4 linked regions of the Arabidopsis thaliana genome follow. The protein of the gene in region 4 binds, or shares a complex with, the protein of the main gene of each other region. Each region holds a gene or a part of one and is shown on either strand. Other genes may lie near its edges. The genes, in order: CRK, AT5G65274, ARPC3 and arpc2b.

Region 1 (4,895 bases), on a different chromosome or scaffold from region 4:
TTTTTTATTGGTAATTTTGAATTTTAGAGAAAACAATTTGTAATTAGCTGACAATTTTTTTATATTGTTATATATCTTAATATTTTTGAAATATCAAAAGAGGATCATCAGATTTATTGAAAATAGGTTTTCAAGAGTTCATCTGGAACTACCGGATGCTATAAATAATAAATAAAAATTGTTGTATTTGGAAATTTTTTCATGTGAAAGCAACTACTATTTCTGGGATTCCCTTTTGTTACTACTACTACTCAATTACTCATTTAATTTGATCAAAAAGACTGTAAAAGTAAAAACTTAATTGCTTTTGTCTTTTATAAGGAAACGTTGATCAAGCTGATGCTTTGGCAAAAGCTGCTCTTGTTTCTTCTTGTACTAACGTTGATAAAAAAAAAAAAAAAAAAAAAAAAGATCTAAACTTTTATTTAACGCTATTTGACATTTGAATTCAACCTGGTTTATTACAATCCTATAAAATTTTAAAAATCTAAAGAGTAAAATTGTTTAAATCAATGACTAACTATGTGAACATTTACTCTTGTATGACGAGTGCATTTACATTGAAAGTTTAGAAATGAATTTAGTTTCAATGGGCTGAGTTCGATATTGGGCCTTCGAGTTATGAACATTCAGTGAATCAGGAATGGTTGTATTCAACTTGTGATTTGTAATTTTTTTCTCAAATCCTTTGTTATTGAAATTGGAATTTATATAAAATCACTCAAAAGAATCTATAATCTTCTGTTATTCATTCAAGAATTTATAAAACACATCTTAAATCCACTGTTATCTAAACTCAACAAAACAATTTCATTAAAAACATTTAACATTGATTCTGGGAGACTTAGGCAAAAAAATTTAGTTGAAAATAAGCATGAAAAAATCTCACCTGTAGGTGTTATTCTGAACGATTTGATTTAAAAAAAGATTCACAGAAAATCTCTGCGACATATTCTCATTGTCCTCCTCCCCTCGTCTTCCATGAAAAAAGCTTTCGGTCTCTGTTCTTCACCGGCAAAATCGAGAATGGATTTGGTCTGTAGAAGAATGCAAATTCCACCAAATCTTCTAAAAGATTCTGGTTTCAATACACCCCCCTAAAATTACTTAATCACAACTTGGTCTTCGTATTTATGATTCAGCTGATCCGGGAATTATGTTACACATGAGCTCTAGGAATGACTTGTGTTATCATTTATCAAGCAACTGTTTGGTAATGAAAATACAAGTCTAAAACTGATAAATGTGAGACATGGTTCCTCAAGGAGAATATGCACATTGGAAACATCAAGGCATCAAGTAATAATACATAAGAGGGAATGATGGATCAAACGGTGTTGATGGTATCAGTAAGACATCGGAGAATGCAACCGAGACCAGCTCTCTCAGTGAGTTTCTCGTGAATCTTCAGGCACTGATCGCAGGTGGGTCGGTCCCCAGTAGAAAGTCCTCTGTACAAGTACCTGAGAATTTTAAGCAAAAACATTCTATCAAAGAGCACAGACAGCCTGAGGATAGAGCTTTCCAATTCATACATATTACAAAACGCATTACAGCAAAAAAAAAAAAAACCAACTTTGCACTTACTTCATGAGAATGTCGTAATATTCGACATCAAGAGCATTGAGCATTCCGTCAATATCCTTAATGGCCATTAAAGCTCTGTGCACAACTATCCAATTAGCCGACTGCAGTTGAGTTTTTTTTGGCTCAGTAAATCAAAAAAAAAAAAAAAGATGGTTTCGGAAAGAGAGAGACCTTGCAACGTTCATCGCGAGTTTTCGGAGGCGAACCTTCAAGAGCCGTTTTCAAAGCTTCTACATGTTTGTACCTGCACACATTAAAACACCGATAAGGGATTAAACCAAAAACAAAAGAAGACTTTAGGGTTTAGCTCCAAGGTCTGATATTACTGTTTGAGTAGGCTTTCAATCTTCCTCGATTTGGTTTCGATCCTCGCGATTATTGCTTCTGCGTTATCAGCTTCAACGAATTCTGCCATTCTTCGATTCGATCTTTCTCTCCGATCAGAGATTTCCCCTCTTTCCCTTCTTTAATTGAAAAAATGAGAGAGAGAGAGGAAAACAACTCAATCGCCATTTGACCATTTCAAAAGGGAACTGAGTGCCGTTTGTCTTGGCCTTAAACGGCACGTAGTCTTAAATGCTTATGCTGCCACTGAATGATGGATGATGGAAGCTTCATTTTTTTTTTCATTTTTTGTCAATAGGATTTTCATCGATAGGATTCAAGTTGAAATACAAGAGCCGGCAAGTACAAACCACTTCCGGAGACATAAGCCGATGAGTACAAGAACACTCCCGAAGCCAAATACCAAACAAGGTAAACAAAGGGAACAAAATCCAAACAAACCAATTACACTATATTCATTGAAATTTCCTCGATCAGGTTCTAGAAATCCAAAAAAGACTTACAAATCCTAAGTCATAGAAAATTAAAACAAATCTGAGACTAAAAAAGACACACAAACGGGTTACAATACAAGAATCTCCTTTTCTTTCTTGGTATAACAATTTTTTTTTTATTATAAATCTCTCTTATAAATTTTTAATAGTAATATTTGTTGGACCGAATTTTTTATATTTATACTAATGAACTTTTCTTTACGATTTTGTTACCATTTTGGTATCATTTTTACGATTTTAATTTATTAACCTCCTTAATTAAAATCGCAACCTATTCTATTTTATTAACACAGGTCAAAATATATTTTTTTCTGCGCTCGACCCTAATATGTTAACAAAATGGTTGTTTCTGCCCAAATCTCATTATATTTGTATGGATAGACGAAGAGCATTTTGATAATACTCTTTTGGAATGTTTCTTTATCATTCTAATTAGGATCCTACATCGAAAGTATACTATAAATGGAGTAAACACACTCATGACTGCTAAGTGCTAACACTAGTATATATGGAACACAACCAATCCAATCATTACCCATTGGTTTTAAATTAGAATCTGATGAAACTTAACATTAACTTTCTCTAATCATTAATGATATTGGTAGTCTTATAACAAATATATTGCCAAGATTCGGTCTAAGACCACTTGATAGAACTATGTATAAAACTTCTTTTTTTTAACTGCCAAACCTATATAAAGTGGACGTGTAAACTAAAGCATGGTGATCACTTCACATCGCACCAATGTAGTGGATCTAAACGTCTCTTTGTGTAATCACGTGGTCGAATTAATGGTCAATCATTTAGCAATTAACCAAATTTGAAATAACATCCGAAAAAAGTCGGTTTAGTGGGAGGAGAAGTGAGAATGATGTTTCATGAATGCTCGTTAGGAACTCTTCGAAAGACGATAACCTCGGATGGATGTTTATGGTGTCGGCTTCTAGTGGTTAAACATAATTAGATCGTCTACTGAAAAGTTGGAGATGTGGTTGAGAAACTCGTACCCTACATATGGTTACTCGTCTGCTGGTTTAATCGTTGGGATTGATCGTGTACTAGTCTTTCTTAAAGGCCAAGAATTTTGTCGTCGTAGTTAATATATGTTGGCGTACGTTTTACTGTTTTTCTTGAGAAATAATTGGATCTTAAGCTTATTAAAAAAGTCGTCACGACTTGGTCCAACTCGTACATATCACAAGTTGCTCGGCGCTTTTCATGTTAGTTAGCCACCGACCTCGAACTTTGAAATTTTATATTTTTTAACTTCAAAAACAATTCTTTGATAGTTTTGTTTTCATTGCTAATATTTCTCTCAATTTTTTTTTATTGTTTTTATTTTTGTATAGAATAGTATTCAAAATGAAACTATAATTCAGTATGGAACACTTTCTGTTTTATTTAATATTTACTTCATAATGAATTATGTTTCAAATTTTCAAAGAATATATTTATATTTGAATTTGGTTAGTACCTTCCAAAGAAGCTTAATTCCCCACATTAAAATTCAACTTGGTCTTCATATTAACATTATTCAATTGAATTCAGACTGAAATGGTTCACTTTATCTGGTTTGAAATATATGTCATGCATTTTCCAAATCAAGAATGAATCTTCTTGAAAGAAAAAAAATGAGAAAAAAGAAGAAGGAGAGGAATGGGTCTCCTAACAATGAAAAAGAGAATAAACCCTTAAATAATTGCAACTATATAAAATAAAAAGTATAAACTCCACTAAAAAAAGTCAAAACGTAGACCAAAACAAAAACATGTAACTAAGTCGTCCACTACTACATCTCTATGACTCTATATAACAACAAAGCCAAAACCACATCTTCTCACACAAAACACAAAAAAGAACAAATATGGAGAAACAAATCTCTCTATTGCTCTGTCTACTCCTCTTCATCTTCTCAATATCATCCTCTCTCCATGAAACCGAAGCTCGAAAACACAATAAATATAAACCCGCACCGATCATGAGCCTAGTCCCAAGAACTCTCTACGACCAAATCTTCATCCACAAGGACAACAACGCATGCCCTGCAAAAGGTTTCTACCCCTATGAAGCTTTCGTGGAGGCTACAAGATCCTTCCCGAAGTTCGGGAGCGTAGGAAACTTTTGGACAAGGCGACGCGAAGTGGCTGCGTTTTTGGCGCAGATATCTCACGAGACAACAGGTGGTTGGGCCACGGCACCAGACGGACCATATGCGTGGGGATTGTGTTTTAAAGAGGAAGTGAGTCCACAGAGTAATTATTGTGATGCTTCTAATAAGGATTGGCCTTGTGTTTCTGGCAAGTCTTACAAAGGAAGAGGTCCCATTCAACTATCTTGGTAAGTCTACAAAATTAATTATTAACCAATAACCATTTATATCTATTTATTTGCTCGAACAACTAGGTCTACAATAGTTCAATGCCCCATGAAAACATTATATACTTCTACCATTTTGCGAATTACCAACGA
Region 2 (4,164 bases), on a different chromosome or scaffold from region 4:
GTGACTTCTTCCTCGGTCTTTTTCTTGAGGTTCCAATCTTTTTGACTTCATACACCATTTCTTTTGCTTACAACACTTTCAGATAAAAGCTATAGATTCAGTATTTTGATCCAACGTGTCATATATTAACCCTTAAGCAAGATTAGTGAAGTGACGAGCCTTTAAGATTTGTTATTCTTACAAGCAGCTTGCAGAAGAGAGAGAGTTACCAGCAGGACCAGAGGAAGGAGGATTTGGGATGTCATATGACCTTCTCTATGGAAGAGCGGGTTTCCTTTGGGCTGCTCTGTTCCTAAACCGATATCTCGGCCAAGGAACTGTTCCTGACCATCTCTTATCACCCATTGTTGCAGCCATCTTAGCCGGTGGGCGAGTTGGAGCTGCAGATCATGAAGCTTGTCCTCTGTTATACAGGTTTCACAAAATAGCTATAGTTTGTTAAAAGAGAATCCTGTTTATCTTTAGTAGGAATTGATCTTACTTTTGTGGCTTTTAGGTTTCACGGAACGCGATTTTGGGGTGCTGCGAATGGATTAGCTGGAATCTTGTATGTATTGCTGCATTTTCCACTATCGGAAGAGGATGTTAAAGATGTTCAAGGGACATTGAGGTATATGATGAGTAATAGGTTTCCGAACAGCGGAAACTACCCGTGCAGCGAAGGGAATCCGAGGGATAAGCTAGTCCAATGGGCTCATGGAGCAACCGGCATGGCCATTACTTTGGCTAAAGCATCTCAGGTGTTTCCCAAGGAAAGGGATTTCCGCGAAGCAGCCATTGAAGCAGGAGAAGTAGTGTGGAAGAGTGGCTTGGTGAAGAAGGTAGGTTTAGCTGATGGAGTTGCTGGTAATGCCTACGCTTTCTTATCCCTTTATCGCTTAACCGGAGATGTTGTATATGAAGAGAGAGCAAAAGCGTTTGCGAGTTACTTGTGCCGTGATGCGATAGAGCTCGTGAATATGACAAGCCAAGAAACAGAACATGATTATTCGCTATTCCGGGGACTAGCTGGACCAGTATGCCTCTGGTTCGATCTTGTGTCGCCGGTAGATTCTAAGTTTCCTGGTTATGAGATATAATTTAAAACCAGGTAACCGTAGGTTCTTTTATGACTATCTCTTTGTGAAAGGATCTTAGGTTCTCCGGTTTATTCCACTTTCTATAATCTATTGAAGTAACTTGAGATTTGGGAGAAACATTCATAGAAAACAAGAATAAAAGTAACATGAAAAGATCAGCTTAATGGTTTAAACGGTATTGGTAGTATCACTCAGACAACGGAGAATGCAACCGAGACCAGCTCTCTCTGTTAGTTTCTCGTGAATCATCAAACACTGTTCGCATGTGGGTTCGTCACCAGTCGAAAGACCTCTGTACAAGTACCTGATCCACACCATTTAAGCAAACAAAACACTGCTTCCACATCACGCTAATTAAAAGCTAGCAGAGCAAAAGGCAAGAGACTTACTTCATGAGAATGTCGTAATACTCGGCAGTAAGAGAATTTAACATTCCTTCGATATCCTTTATCGCCATGATAGCTCTGTGCACAACTATCCAATTAGCTGACTGCAATTTCACAGATATTTATCATAAATTACACAATCTTTTTGATCATGAACAAACTACTTATGTGCATGGTAGAGGAAACAGTAGGACCTTGCAACGTTCGTCGAGAGTTTTAGGTGGCGAACCATCAAGAGCCGTTTTAAGAGCTTCGACATGTTTGTAGCTGAATAAAACGAAGTAACAATTATAGCCTAGGTCATCTGAGAAAGTTGGAAGAAAAAAGGAACTTTAGGGTTATTACTGTTTGAGTAAGCTTTCAATCTTCTGCGATTTGGTTTCGATCCTTGCCATTATTTCCTCTGCATTATCAGCTTCAACAAATGCTGCTGCACCAGCCATTGGATCTCTCTCTTTCTCTACACTCTCCAGCAAAATTATCTAAAACCTAATCAATTAATTTCATTTCTTCATTCAAATCGACAACTTGCTGCATAAGAAACATATGATTTGAGTTTACTAACCAAAGGAGGCAATGCAAAACTTGTCATCCCCATAAAAAGCTAAAAAGAGAAGTAACAATCACGACAAAATCAATTCTAATCACGTAAAACAATCCATTGCCGATGGTACGCAGATTTCTCACATCATATCAGATCAGTAATCCTGAACTTTCTGATCAAATCATACAAGATTGAAGAATCAAGCAGGATTCGAAGATTACCTGAAATTAGAGAGAATAAAGCAATCGAGTGGTAAAACGGCCGAGTGAGAATTTATCAGAACTGTGATACCAATTATTAAAATCGGATGCTTCAGTTTTTAATTTTTACTTTTTCACATTGACGTAACAAGAGAAATAGAAAAGTTGTTATTGCTGGTATATATTTGTAATTAACAAAAATGTAACAATAATCTTACAAATGTAGAGAGAATAAAAACATGTTGATCAAATTAATATCCAATTTTTAAGATCAAATTAAGATCGGTTTGTTATACTTGGATTCAACACCCCAAAACCCCACAAAAACTGCTCATTAAGCAACAAATGAATCACACAGCTCTAGATAGGAGAAATATCCCAATCAGAGTCTTTAAAACATCTATATATTGTTGTTATCAAGTAACATTCAAGAATTGAATTGGTTTATCTAAGAGTTACAACACATGTTACTCTTGTTTGGTATCACTTGACCAGGACCTGGAACAATATCAATCTTCTTACCAGCAAGCGACCCGGGATTACCATTCTCTTGATCTTCACTCGCAGCCAGACTTTTCTTGTTCACAATGTTGAAGATCTCAGTCAAAACCGTGGAGAAAGCGCTCTCAACATTGGTTGCGTTAAATGCAGATGTCTCCAAGAAGAACAAACCTTCTTTCTCCGCAAATTCTTTCGCATCTTCTGTCGGTATAGCTCGTTGATCCACAAGATCTGACTTGTTCCCAATAAGGATTATCACAATGTTCTTATCTGCATGAGCACGTAGTTCTTCTAACCATCTTGGGATATGGTCAAAGGTTTGGCGTCTGGTTATGTCATACACCAACATCGCCCCAACCGCTCCTCGGTAATATGCACTTGTTACTGCTCTGTATCTGTTTCAACCAATACCACACATATAGAAAGATATACAATGTAAGCATATGATAAGCATGAAATGTGGTGGTTAGCTTACTCATTAAAGATCAGTGAATGTATAAAGTTGATGAAGCATCACTGGGAAATGTATAACAAAAGTGTCCAAATTTGTACCAATCATAAAATTATAGAAGCTTAATAACATTGGAATAGTAATATACATAATTCTAGTCTATACATAATTTTGAAATCCCAATCCCAAATTCTCAATGATTCTACCATTTTACTTCAGATCCTCCCAATTTCGTATACAGATCAGTAAGCTTTACTAGAATTCGAAATCCTAAGCAGACCTATCATCTTCCAGATCTAGAGAAACAGTAAAATCTTACGAGATCTAAGTTCAAGCAATTGAAGTAGCTAAAAGTTCCGGGAGAGGTCGGAGATTACCGTTCTTGGCCGGCGGTATCCCAGATCTGAGCCTTAACACTCTTGTGATCGATAACAAGCGTCCGAGTCTGAAACTCAACGCCGATGGTGGCCTTAGAATCCAAACTGAATTCGTCTCTAGCATAACGAGCCAGTATCTGTGATTTCCCAACCGCGGAATCGCCGATCAACACCACTTTGAACACATAATCAATCTTCTGCGACGGATCTCCGTATCCTCCTCCACTAGTCATCTTCTTCAACGTCTCTCTCTCGCTAAATCCTCTCTTGCTAAATCCTCTGTTTTAAGCTTTTACCGAAAAGTGAGCTTTTTTGAAGTTTTAAACGCAGAGAGAGATCTGATACGGTCGTATTGTCGTCGTTGTCAACTATTAGTCAATATTTTTAATTAATGATGACGTGTCTAAATATTAACCGTTGGATTCTGCCGGCTCGGTGAGATTTGACGGATTCGACAATTATCTTTCTGTCAGGCGCATGTTTTTGGGTGATGATGTCATCAAATAGGGTAATTTCGAATGTTAAAAAGTCTTTTAAAATTGGGCCTTATTAGGCCCATTAAGTTATAATAAAGGGCCGTTATTTGGTTGATTACGTGTCGCTATCCGAATTGACAAAAAGTGACC
Region 3 (4,898 bases), on a different chromosome or scaffold from region 4:
TTGGTGGTGTTAATTTTCTACTAAAGGTTTGATTTTTTTTTCTATCCTATCATCATCTTCTATTCATTTTTCCTCAAACATAACCCACATGAGGATATATATGTACTCTGAATAGTCTAGGCTACACGTTGCTATCACTCATCTTTGTCAACACTTTTTGCTAATTCTTTATGAGTGAAGTTGTATTATGTTTCCCTGATAGTGATCTTGGCCTGAGTGTTGTTGCAGACTAACGTCTATAAGACTGAAAATATAGCTACATTAACATTTAGGACATTATAAATTTGAAGATGGTGATCATTTGCAATTTTGATTAAATGAGCTGTGCTCCCTGAGGTTTTTTAACCGATAGTTTCTTCATTGCATTAAAAGCATCTGTGGCAGAATAGTTTTTGATAAACTTCTTATTTCTGCCATTTTAAATTAACAATAGATTATTGCATGATTGCAGACTGTCCCAAGGGAAGCTTTTACCTACTTAGATGGCCAAAAGAAGTTTGTCGAGATCGACCATAATGATTTGTATCCATATCTACTAGTCAACATCGGTTCTGGCGTTAGCATGATCAAGGTTCATTCTGGTTTTGGTTTCTCTGATCTCTCTGTTTTTGTTTGCTACTACACCAGCGATGTTGCTTACTCAAACTCGTTCTTATATAGGTCGATGGAGATGGAAAATATGAGAGGATAAGTGGAACAAGCCTTGGCGGAGGCACATTTTTAGGTCTTGGGAAGCTTTTAACAAAATGCAAGAGGTGACTTCTTAGTTAAGTCTATTAATGTAAGTTTCCTCCTTGCCTGAGTAACAACTAATATTTCTTAATTTCAGTTTTGATGAGCTGCTAGAGTTAAGCCACCATGGAAATAACAGAGTAATTGACATGCTTGTGGGGGATATCTACGGTGGAACAGATTATTCAAAGGTAATTGATTGATCCTGGTTTTGCTTAAACATGTCTGAAGACTTTTAGATTAGATTCATATGTTAATATAACCTTTTGTTCATTCTTTTTTGATAGATTGGTCTCTCCTCAACAGCTATCGCTTCCAGCTTTGGGAAAGCGATTTCTGATGGTAAAGAACTTGAAGATTACCAGCCAGAAGATGTGGCAAGGTCCCTTCTAAGAATGATATCAAATAACATCGGTCAGGTCAGTTCCTCTGAACATTTTAATGCCATTTTAAAACATAATTTGAAGCTGATGATATTCTGATCGAATTGTAACGTTTTCTACTCTCCCTCCAGATTGCTTATTTGAATGCTCTCAGATTCGGTCTTAAGCGTATTTTCTTTGGTGGATTTTTCATCCGTGGGCTTGAGTACACCATGGACACAATCTCCGTTGCTGTTCACTTTTGGTAAATCCAAAACCGAAACTACTTAATCAAATCCCTCCATATCTTAAACTCATGTATGTCCACAAAATCTTTATCGAACTTTCTCATTTTTCCTTCTCATTTCAGGTCGAGAGGTGAGGCAAAGGCAATGTTTTTACGACATGAAGGGTTTCTTGGAGCATTAGGCGCTTTCACGAGCTACAATGACCAGAGCCATAACGATTTAAAACCGCATCATCACACTGTGCAAAGAGCAATTCTCAACTGTTCAGGTCATAACTTTCGGCACATCCCAGTAACTTCAAATTTAAACGAAAGCGAGACCATAGAATGTAGCATCAATTTAGTTTAGTTATCACCAGTTGTATTATTATCAATTCAGTGTAGAAATATGTTTAATCAACTGTTTGAGTCAAGAGCTGCTCATTACTAGTTTGTTGAATGTTAGACACATTTATGTAAGATGATTCACGTATTAATATTCATGTATGACCAATGTAACTTGTACTATATATCACACAAAGAATCAAACACACTTATTAAATCTCACTAGAGCTTCTTTAAATCTCGGTTTAGTCCGGTGCATTGCAAGTATTTGTGCATTTCTGTTTAGCCTTTGTTTACTAAGTTTTGTATATTGCTTATGTAACAAGTTTTTATCCATTCAGCAGAAATAACAGAAACTTGACACTTATATGGACATTTTGTTGTTGTTGTTGATTGAAGATCAATGTTTAATCCGGTCAAACCACTTTGATGTAACCCGAAACTGAACCGAAGAATGAACCACATCATTATTTGGTTTTTGATGTACCTAATTCCAGTGGTCGATAAGAAACCAAATTTCAAATAAAAAAACCGAGAAACTCAAAAATCAAAGCTAAGCCGGATTTAACATTGGTTACTCCCGGTACGAAGCAATGTACCACATTCATGGAGTCTTACACGTGTCATCCATACCTCTCTGTCTTCTTCTTCTTCTGTTCTTCATTCCTTTTTCCTACTTCGTCGATTTTCCATTTCAATTTCTTCTTCAGCCGGCGATTAAGCTTCCCAATAAGACAATCTCCGACCGCCGCAACATCACGAAGGATTCTTCACCGTGTGAACTTTACGCAGTCTTTCCTCTTTCGTAGACGCTAAAGAAGTTGAAATTGATCTGATCTCGTTTAGGTAAAAACTTTTTCTTTCTTCATCTATAGAATCAATCGTTCACCTAAATTCTGATTCTTATATATCCAAGATCTTAATTGCAGCAGATCTACCTTCGATTCGATTCTTCTCCTTCCTGATATCGCTTCATTGTTCAAATTCGGCACAAAATGGTACGGATCACCATTTTCTTATCTTTCAATTAGCATTAATCGCATTTCATTTTGTAACTAATGAAATTAGATTAGATCTTCGATGAGATTTTTTTTATTTATTGAGCTTGTTTCACTTTGATTTGGTTCCATGGAGTATTTAACTCTGCGATGCTCATTTTGTTTCCTTAATCCTTGTGATTAAATGCTCTGATCAGGTTTATCACTCGAGTTTTGTGGATGAAGAAGGAGTAACAAAGGCATGTGGTTGTCCATTGCTTCCTCTCAAGAGTCATATAAAAGGTCCTGCACCTGTTTCAGAACAAGGTAATTAATCAAAACATGTGATTTTTTTCAATTGTGCGATCGAAAGCTTTTGTAAATTGTTGGTTTTATATGCAGATAAAACTGATATAGTAGACGAGGCAATCACCTTCTTTCGTGCTAATGTCTTCTTCACAAACTTTGATATCAAAAGTCCTGCTGATAAGCTCCTTATTTACTTGACGTTTTATATAAATGTGGCGTTAAAGAGGCTTGAAGGCTGTAGAACATTGGCTGTTGGAACTAAAGCGATTATCAACTTGGGTTTAGAAGATATTCCTGTTCCTGGAGAAACTGGCTTTCCTTTCCCAGGTCTCTTTTCGCTTCCGCAGTCCCAGGACGAAGCAGGTATATATACATGTCTAAACAACTCTTATTGATTTTTCTTTCAGTTACTTGGTCCTTAGCCTTGTGTTCTGTTTGGCTTCAAATGTCAGAGCTTTTCAGGAACTATCTTAAGCAGGTTCGAGAGGAGACAAGTGGGAGGTTACTGAGTGTAGCATATAGAGCCAACGGGACACCAAATAAATGGTGGCTTGCATTCGCCAAGAGGAAATTCATGAACGTGGTCGTCCTATGATAAAACAGAGAATCACTGGTAAGTATCACTTTAGTTTACTGGATCCAAAATCCCACGTGATCTTAGATCCATCTCAAACAGTTCTACATTTCAAGCTTAAAATGTTTTTCTTTTGATCTGATTTTTTCATAATTTAGCAGCTGGTTATTCTTCCTTGCTTGCTGCCCATTACGAATGAGGGAATCCAAAGCCACTGGAGATCATGAGAATCGCCACCTTTAGCTTCCTCTGCATAGGTGTTAGCCACTGGAACCAGGAAGACGAAAATTTCATCTGAGAGCAGAATGCTCTCTCTCTGTATCTCTTGATATATACATAGAGTGTGCCAATGTATTGTTTCATACAACTCCTGTTGGAATATAAAATTTGTTGATACAAGATCAAAGTTAAATAAGAAGATTCTTTTATTATTACTTTAGATTAACAGAGTTTATCTCCAAGGTCTTAATCAGATATCAGATTGTAACCACACATTCTCACTCTTAGCAATTATACAAAGAAAGGAAATAGCTTTGCATACACATAGTGACATAACTGTGCCTGAAGCTACCTATCAGGCCTTGGTGCATACGTTTCCTTCACAAACCCAACCATCTTTGGACTCGTCGCCACCAACTTTCACAGCCTCATCGCCGTTTTCTTTTGTGTCCTCGTTTAAAGCACACTTGGCGTGAAGATCAAAGTCGCATTCGTCGCAATGGTAAGACCATATTGTCCCTTCTTCCTCACACTTATCGCATGTGTAAACCTGAACACGAGTTAGTTCTAGCTCATGTTCTTCATGGAGAACATGTTTCACCTTCTTAGGCCAATCTTTTGCTATCTCATCGTACTTAGCTTCAATCTCCTTCAAACGTTCCTCAGTAAAAGGGTAAGCATCGGCTCCATGGGCTACGACAAGGTCCCTTGCTTCTTTTGTTACGGTTTGCCCAGTTGGTCCCAGAGCTGCTAGCATTGGGATCCCACCAACCTTAAAGGTTTTTGCCAAGGATGCTTTCCTAGGATCACCAAATGGAAGAGCCAGCCACGGCATTTGCGAATAGTACTCATCGAATGATTCCTGGTCACGGTCACTGGAGATGAAGATCAATTCAAACGCTTCATTCCGCTCCTTTATCTGCTTGTATACTTCAACAAGCTTTGGTGTAAAAGCGCGACAAGGAGGACACCAGTGAGCTGAGAAGTACATAAGAATAGTCTTCCCCACCAGATCCGAAACAAGCACCTAACAAAGAAAGCCAAATTTTTACAGGTTGGTTCAGATCAGCCTTGAAGAACAGTGTTTAGAAAATGAAGAGGGTATCGAGAGCTATACCTTTGCCCCATCTTTTCCGAGAACGTAGTTGAGATCA
Region 4 (6,076 bases):
ATCCTTTATAAGTAAAACGATATAACAAGGATGATGTGAATAGGGACACGTGTCAGGAAGTAGTGGTGTAAACATTTAAAAGAAAACGAAGACGACAAGCAATATGATCACATATAATATGGTCCATCCACGTGGTTATTTTCAATTTGCTAAAATGTAATTGTACTTTTGTTCACGAGGAGGACGGTGGAAAAAACCAACGTGCTTATTCTATGAGTTTAGGAAGAGACTCAAAAGATAGCATATGCGAGCAAAACATGATTGACTGGGAGCCCATAACATCTCAGAATGATCCATCCTCTTTCATTTTGTACATAACACTCCCATATTATATGAAACCGTAGTTGTTTGCAAGAACTGATTCATCCTAATTCTAATTAGCACATATATACTTAACTATGAGTATCAACAAACCGACCGGTTGAATACATATTAATTATGTAGACATGTAGTGATGATCAATTGATCATATACCCTAATTTGAACTTTTTTGCTCGTTATGATTTAGGAGCTAACGTTGCCGACGTGCTCAATGTGTGAAGTTTTAGGATTGAAATTTATTGATTACAAAAGAAAAAAAAAGGACGAGTACTGTGACCACAATATGTGGTCACATGCACGTGGCTGGAACCATTTGCTGATTTGCGTGTGCGGTGGAAATTAAAAAGCGGGATTAAGAGATACCAATAGATTGATGATTTCGTATAAGTGATAAGCAAAAATAATAAAATCATAACTTAACTAAAGTATTTAAATTACAAAACCTACAAACATTTATGTATTACCATTTTTTGGCCGTATCTCAGTGTGTTGATTGGTTACATTTTTTTTTTTATCACATGATGATTGTATACATTGAAAAGTAAAAAGAGTGAATGGTACTTGTACAAAGCTCTTACGTAACATGCTGCATTCAATGCCAACTTTTGATTAGGTTTATTTTTGGTTTACCAAATTATATCCATAAGTTTATCTGATAACGTTTTTTTTTGTTGTCAAGATATTCATTAACGTATAATATTGCTCCCCGAATTCAATTTTAAAGCATGTTGACAAAGAAAAAAAACAACAACACCGAGCCTCTTTCTTGAGACTTTCCAAGTTAAGTGATTACTTAGTCCAATTTTGTGTATGATTTATCTGATGGTTTCGAAGAGAATTTGGGGAGAGATATCCACCGCTGATTGAATCGAAACCGAGCACAACCGTTGATTTTGATCCGGAACTTGCTTATCTTCACTCTCCTTGTCATCTCCTTGCATCTTTGTTTCATCATCAATTTACCTTTTGGTACCTTCACAAACTCCTTTACGTATTTGCATCTTCCGTTTTCTATATAGAAATTAGAGAATGGAAAAGAAAAAATGATAATATAACTTTTTTATATATACAAACCTAAGTAAGGTTAAAGGTAACAAAAAAAAAGGATACCATTTTGAGCAGCTTCTTCTTCTAGGCTTGTGTTATTTAGCAGCTACGTATATAATGTAAATTTACAAACATACGTTATTTTGTTTATGAAATGTCAACTATTGTTGTAGATTCGTGTGTGTACGTAATATATGATAAAAATACCTTAACTAAAGTTTCCATTCTTTTTCTCATCCGTCTCTGTATGTACCCTCTCGAGCACTATTTAAACAATACGAGGTTGAAAATTTTCAATTACAAGAACACAAAATCTATTATATTTTATTTGAAAAACTAGAACTAATGTACCTTAATATGGTACTTAGCGCATGCGTAGAAATTTAGCAAGTTCCAAACCGTTTTGTCCAGTCTCTTTCCTTCAATGTGCCGTGAAGTAATATCTGCAATGAGAATTGTTTGAACTTTGACATTTAAGAATACTAATTAAAGATGTTGGATTAAGTTTTATAAACAGATAAAATGACACAAAACGTACCAAATGATACAAAACCAGAATTGGTGGTCAAGTCTTGAACCGGTTCTCCTCTAAGTTGGAGAGGAGGAATTGGCGACCAACTACATTGTGGGGCTTTTCCCATATCCTTTTGGCTTCCCACTTCAACTAGTTCCTTTTTATATGTATTGTCCAATTTGTTTTTAACATAAAAAGATAAAATTTGACAAAGGAAACCTTAGTGACGTCTCAATGCAAAACTCTAGTCCCACCCATTGATTGTATGCATTTTAGTTGTACCTGGAAGAATGACGTGGCGATGACCACATCCGAATTGTCTTTAAAATTCATCGGAAACACGGCCGTGATTTTTTCCGGCTGAAAAAACATTCAAAGACTTATTCTTATAGTTATAGTTATTCGATAAATTTTAGACGTTGGTCTCTATCCATTATTATATTTAGTTGGATGTAACTCAGATAAACGAATAAAACGCGGTAAAATAAACCTGTTTAAAGACGTAGAAAGGTTCACTTGGGTGATAAACAATCCTGATGGGCATGTTGTTGATCGATCGTGAATCATCTTGAAAATTTAAACTTCTCAGCATCTCTTTTAGTTGGCTACTTAATATTATCGCTTGTAGTTCAGAAATCCTTGTAATGATTTTAATCGCTTCTGCATTTGAATGAGTAAATATGAAAAAAACTTATAATAACTAAGTAGCGGGAAAAAGTACATTTCAATATTGAAGCTTACCTTTGCCACGTGGTATATTATCAAGGTTTAGGCCAAGGGTCAATTGAAACCCTAATCTTGGTGGATCAACGATGTCAATCACACCAACTCCAATATTCTTAATCACCTCATAAGTGTAACTTGAAATCTCCTTCAATGTCACTGCTCCTTGTGTCTCAAGCAACGTCGACGTCGATACATGCACAATATTTGGATCCGAAACCGAGTACTGCATGTCCAAATCATATATATTTCATTTTGTAAGAGCACATATAATCGAATAAGAAAGAAGATTATTATTAAAAAAAGGAAGCCCCAAAAATATACCTTGATATGGTATTCAATCGAACCAAACTCATGGAAATGTTGATCGACCTCAATAGGTTTTTCAGCACTGCCATGGATTCAATAACCTTATGTTATAATGTCTCACATTGGCATTGGATATGAACTTATTGCCAATTGATTTTTAGTTGGAAATTAATGTTTACTAACCATACTAACAAAATCATTTCAAATAATCTTGATTGAAGTTAAGCCGGAAAATATTGTTAGGTACGGAGGTAGCTAAACCGGGAATGAAATTGGACCAGAGAATAAAAGAGAGAGTGTGGCTTACCGGTATATCTTGAGGAGTGTTTCTTTCAACGTTGGAGAGGCTCTTTCGAGATATGCCATTCTTGAAACACCTCGGAAGAAACTTGAGGGTACAATAATTATAATTTACAATGTCATCAATCTATAACTTTTTATGTGTGCATTGCACATATATCTGTGTGAGAGCCTAATAAGTGCGCTTTTTCTTTCGTGCATTGGTGAATTGTTGGATGTTGAGTAAAATGTCAGTTTAAATTTGCAATCATTTTTTTATCTTTCTTTCTAAGAAAACATTTTAGCTATTGTATCTGCCACTGAAACGTAACATGTGGATGTACCTGTGAGCCGAATATAAACATAGGCCCGTTGATAAAGAGTTTTAATGCTTTCTCAGCCTTCGGACTAAAGCTGTGGGATCCGATGGACGCCGATTCGCACGGTCCCGTGATGACACAGAAGGAATTTGACAGAGGTAGAATGTGTTTTTTCCAAAAACTTAGATTACATCTAAAATATCGAAACCATGGAAAATGAGATTTTCATATATTTTTTCCCTGATCTTTATTCAACCTCAAAGGCAAAATTCTACTGTTAGAAACATAAATGATTGTTTTTCTATTGTCATTATGTGGACATTAATCTTATCATTAAAAAAGCAATACTTGGAATGTAATCCAAGCTAATCCAATGAACATTAAGCGTCGGTTTCACACAAATCGCAAGCTATTATTGACTTCACCAACATATAGTTATTAGTTTACCCCACATACTAAGTCACAATTCTTCTTTCTATTCAGTGTGGACGTGAGGTTTACTTAGGGTAAAAGAATGGTCATTGTAAAACCATATTATCTGACATGAATTTATAACTTATTTATTAATATTATTTTTTTATGAAACAGGAAAATAAAATCTTTTAGCAAAATGTGTCTTTGTTATGATGACCATCAATATATAAATTCATGTTTTATTTATATAGATTCATTTTGATAATACAACTTGTAAAATACCCTGATTTGTTATATAATTTAAAACTATAAAAGTAATCTTAGTCACATAAAACTATACATATGCTAAGATAACTAGACCTCTATCAATTTAATTTATTATCAATTATAAATCTAGAAGTCTATATTGAATTTGTCAACATGAAAAATTCAAAGCTTATTAAATTATAGAACACATAAAAGCTCAACAAGTTGTTTAATTAAAATATTGTTGTTTAACCAAAAAAACAAGTAATTAAAAAGTTGCAAGTTTGCTAATTAAAAATGATTAGTCAACGGCCGAAGTATAATCTCATAACGAGATTACCTACCGTGTGCCAAAACAAGTTTTAATCTCATCTACAAAAATATCTCAAGTTTGATCTTAGCCGTTAATTCCTTATTTAACGAATTTTCTTTTCGCACACTTTCTCGACACCCAATCAGAACTCAGCTGAGAGAAACGCGTCTCTCAGATTTCAATCCTTCACTTTCCCTTTTCTTTTTTTCTCGTTATCGGATCAGAACAAAATTTTGGGAAATTCGAGGTTTCCCTGGATTGTTGGATTCGATTATTGTTGAAATTCGATATGGGTGTTTGTTGTTTGTGTTAATCGTTGTCAAAGTTTTGATTTTTTTCCTCGAGAAAATTTGAGATTTTTTCGTTCGTCTAATCGAGAGAAAACGCAGCCATTTTACTACGTAAGTAATGCTTTTTCTCATTTCCAGTTTTCTGATTTCGTATCCTGATCTTGATTCATGATCCAAGCGTTGACTTTGATATATTAGAATTCACAAATTTTCAGATTTTGTGATTAGGGTTTGTTAGATTCATATTTATCTTTTGTTTTGTATCAGGATCAAATTCAAACCCCTGAATACTGAAGCGAAATTGAGGTTAATGGTTAGGGAGCTTAGGGTTTATGAATGATCAGGTGGTATTTGGTATTTGACATGAATTAGGGAACACGAGTGATATCTCTATCTTCTCCAGATTGTTTAAGCTTGGGGTTTAGTTTCCATAGATTGAAGATTTGCTATGGATACGGGTCGTGGAGAGGGTAAAGAAGCTAATGGATGTGAGAATAAGGCTATAGTTAGTTTAAATAGCAGTGAAATTGAAGATCAAATCTTTGAGGAAGAAGAAAGTGAGTCACAATGTTTATTGCCTCCAAGGAAAGGAGGCATGTCTAGAAGCACTGACAAGATTAAGAGGACTGTGCAGTGGAATGACATTAAAGGAGACAATCTTGCTGAGGTTTTAGTTTATGAACCAAGGTAATATCATCCTTAACAACACTATCTCTGTAGAGTATTATTTCAAGTTTTTCGCTGTATCGTGATTCTCTTCTCTTTTATTTGGTCTAGCTCTTACTTAAATGTTAATGATTTGCAAATGCGGGATTCGTATCGGAAACCTTAGGTTAGTTTTGTTTTGGCTATTTCCGTGCTTTTGGAGTGGTCTTCTTGATCTTTGACTGGTGGTCTTTTTGTTTAAGAATGGTTTCCATAGAGAAATTCTTATAGTTGCTCTAGCCATATTGTAAACCTTAGATTAGTATTGATTTGACTATTTCCAATATTTTTGTTGATGAGCCTATGAGAAACAATTTGGCTTCCCTGTGTAATGTAGCTGATAAATTTCTTATAGCGTTTGTGCTCCTATCTGGCAGCAGTTTAGTGTACTAACTGATAGACGAAACAAACCTGTAGTCCTGTTTCTCACTTCAATTTGGGGTTGTGGAATCTGAATTTAGTAAAGAACCTTGAAGATAATCTACTTACTATGTCTAGAAACACTAACTAAACCCATTGGAAAAGCTTGTCGTTTACATCCATATTGGTAGTTGAAGGTCCAATAGAGTAGTTATCTTCTGTTTAAGAACTTACT

Evidence for each region.
Region 1: arpc2b (region 4) and CRK share a complex: the UniProt entries of both Arabidopsis thaliana proteins name them as parts of the arp2/3 complex.
Region 2: arpc2b (region 4) and AT5G65274 share a complex: the UniProt entries of both Arabidopsis thaliana proteins name them as parts of the arp2/3 complex.
Region 3: arpc2b (region 4) and ARPC3 share a complex: the UniProt entries of both Arabidopsis thaliana proteins name them as parts of the arp2/3 complex.

Annotation. Positions count from the first base shown.
Region 1 is NC_003075.7:732,883-737,777, reverse strand, and holds CRK (ARP2/3 complex 16 kDa subunit (p16-Arc)), read right to left. Parts: upstream 2,126-4,895; 5' UTR 2,003-2,125; coding exon 1,914-2,002; intron 1,832-1,913; coding exon 1,759-1,831; intron 1,689-1,758; coding exon 1,588-1,688; intron 1,464-1,587; coding exon 1,328-1,463; 3' UTR 813-1,327; downstream 1-812. Other genes in the region: AT4G01703 (uncharacterized protein), read left to right, coding at 3,413-3,526; AT4G01700 (Chitinase family protein), read left to right, coding at 4,291-4,763. UniProt on the Arabidopsis thaliana protein: Functions as a component of the Arp2/3 complex which is involved in regulation of actin polymerization and together with an activating nucleation-promoting factor (NPF) mediates the formation of branched actin networks.
Region 2 is NC_003076.8:26,083,044-26,087,207, reverse strand, and holds AT5G65274 (ARP2/3 complex 16 kDa subunit (p16-Arc)), read right to left. Parts: upstream 1,909-4,164; coding exon 1,811-1,908; intron 1,733-1,810; coding exon 1,660-1,732; intron 1,616-1,659; exon of another isoform or gene 1,570-1,615; coding exon 1,469-1,569; exon of another isoform or gene 1,384-1,468; coding exon 1,248-1,383; downstream 1-1,247. Other genes in the region: GCL1 (GCR2-like 1), read left to right, coding at 1-29, 188-414, 497-1,079; RABA4a (RAB GTPase homolog A4A), read right to left, coding at 2,658-3,105, 3,539-3,771. UniProt on the Arabidopsis thaliana protein: Functions as a component of the Arp2/3 complex which is involved in regulation of actin polymerization and together with an activating nucleation-promoting factor (NPF) mediates the formation of branched actin networks.
Region 3 is NC_003070.9:22,263,445-22,268,342, reverse strand, and holds ARPC3 (actin-related protein C3), read left to right. Parts: upstream 1-2,266; 5' UTR 2,267-2,511; intron 2,512-2,581; exon of another isoform or gene 2,582-2,594; 5' UTR 2,595-2,660; coding exon 2,661-2,663; intron 2,664-2,860; coding exon 2,861-2,969; intron 2,970-3,044; coding exon 3,045-3,314; coding exon of another isoform or gene 3,315-3,346; intron 3,347-3,403; coding exon 3,404-3,546; 3' UTR 3,547-3,564; intron 3,565-3,686; 3' UTR 3,687-3,958; downstream 3,959-4,898. Other genes in the region: PANK1 (pantothenate kinase 1), read left to right, coding at 1-26, 452-571, 661-755, 830-923, 1,020-1,151, 1,247-1,359, 1,465-1,690; AT1G60420 (DC1 domain-containing protein), read right to left, coding at 4,100-4,771, 4,862-4,898. UniProt on the Arabidopsis thaliana protein: Functions as a component of the Arp2/3 complex which is involved in regulation of actin polymerization and together with an activating nucleation-promoting factor (NPF) mediates the formation of branched actin networks.
Region 4 is NC_003071.7:14,146,490-14,152,565, forward strand, and holds arpc2b (actin-related protein C2B), read right to left. Parts: upstream 3,414-6,076; 5' UTR 3,281-3,413; coding exon 3,222-3,280; intron 2,997-3,221; coding exon 2,930-2,996; intron 2,832-2,929; coding exon 2,624-2,831; intron 2,543-2,623; coding exon 2,373-2,542; intron 2,243-2,372; coding exon 2,165-2,242; intron 2,040-2,164; coding exon 1,907-2,039; intron 1,812-1,906; coding exon 1,720-1,811; intron 1,633-1,719; coding exon 1,576-1,632; coding exon of another isoform or gene 1,516-1,575; exon of another isoform or gene 1,475-1,515; coding exon 1,432-1,474; coding exon of another isoform or gene 1,406-1,431; exon of another isoform or gene 1,333-1,405; coding exon 1,115-1,332; 3' UTR 893-1,114; downstream 1-892. Other genes in the region: AT2G33390 (uncharacterized protein), read left to right, coding at 5,225-5,463. UniProt on the Arabidopsis thaliana protein: Functions as actin-binding component of the Arp2/3 complex which is involved in regulation of actin polymerization and together with an activating nucleation-promoting factor (NPF) mediates the formation of branched actin networks.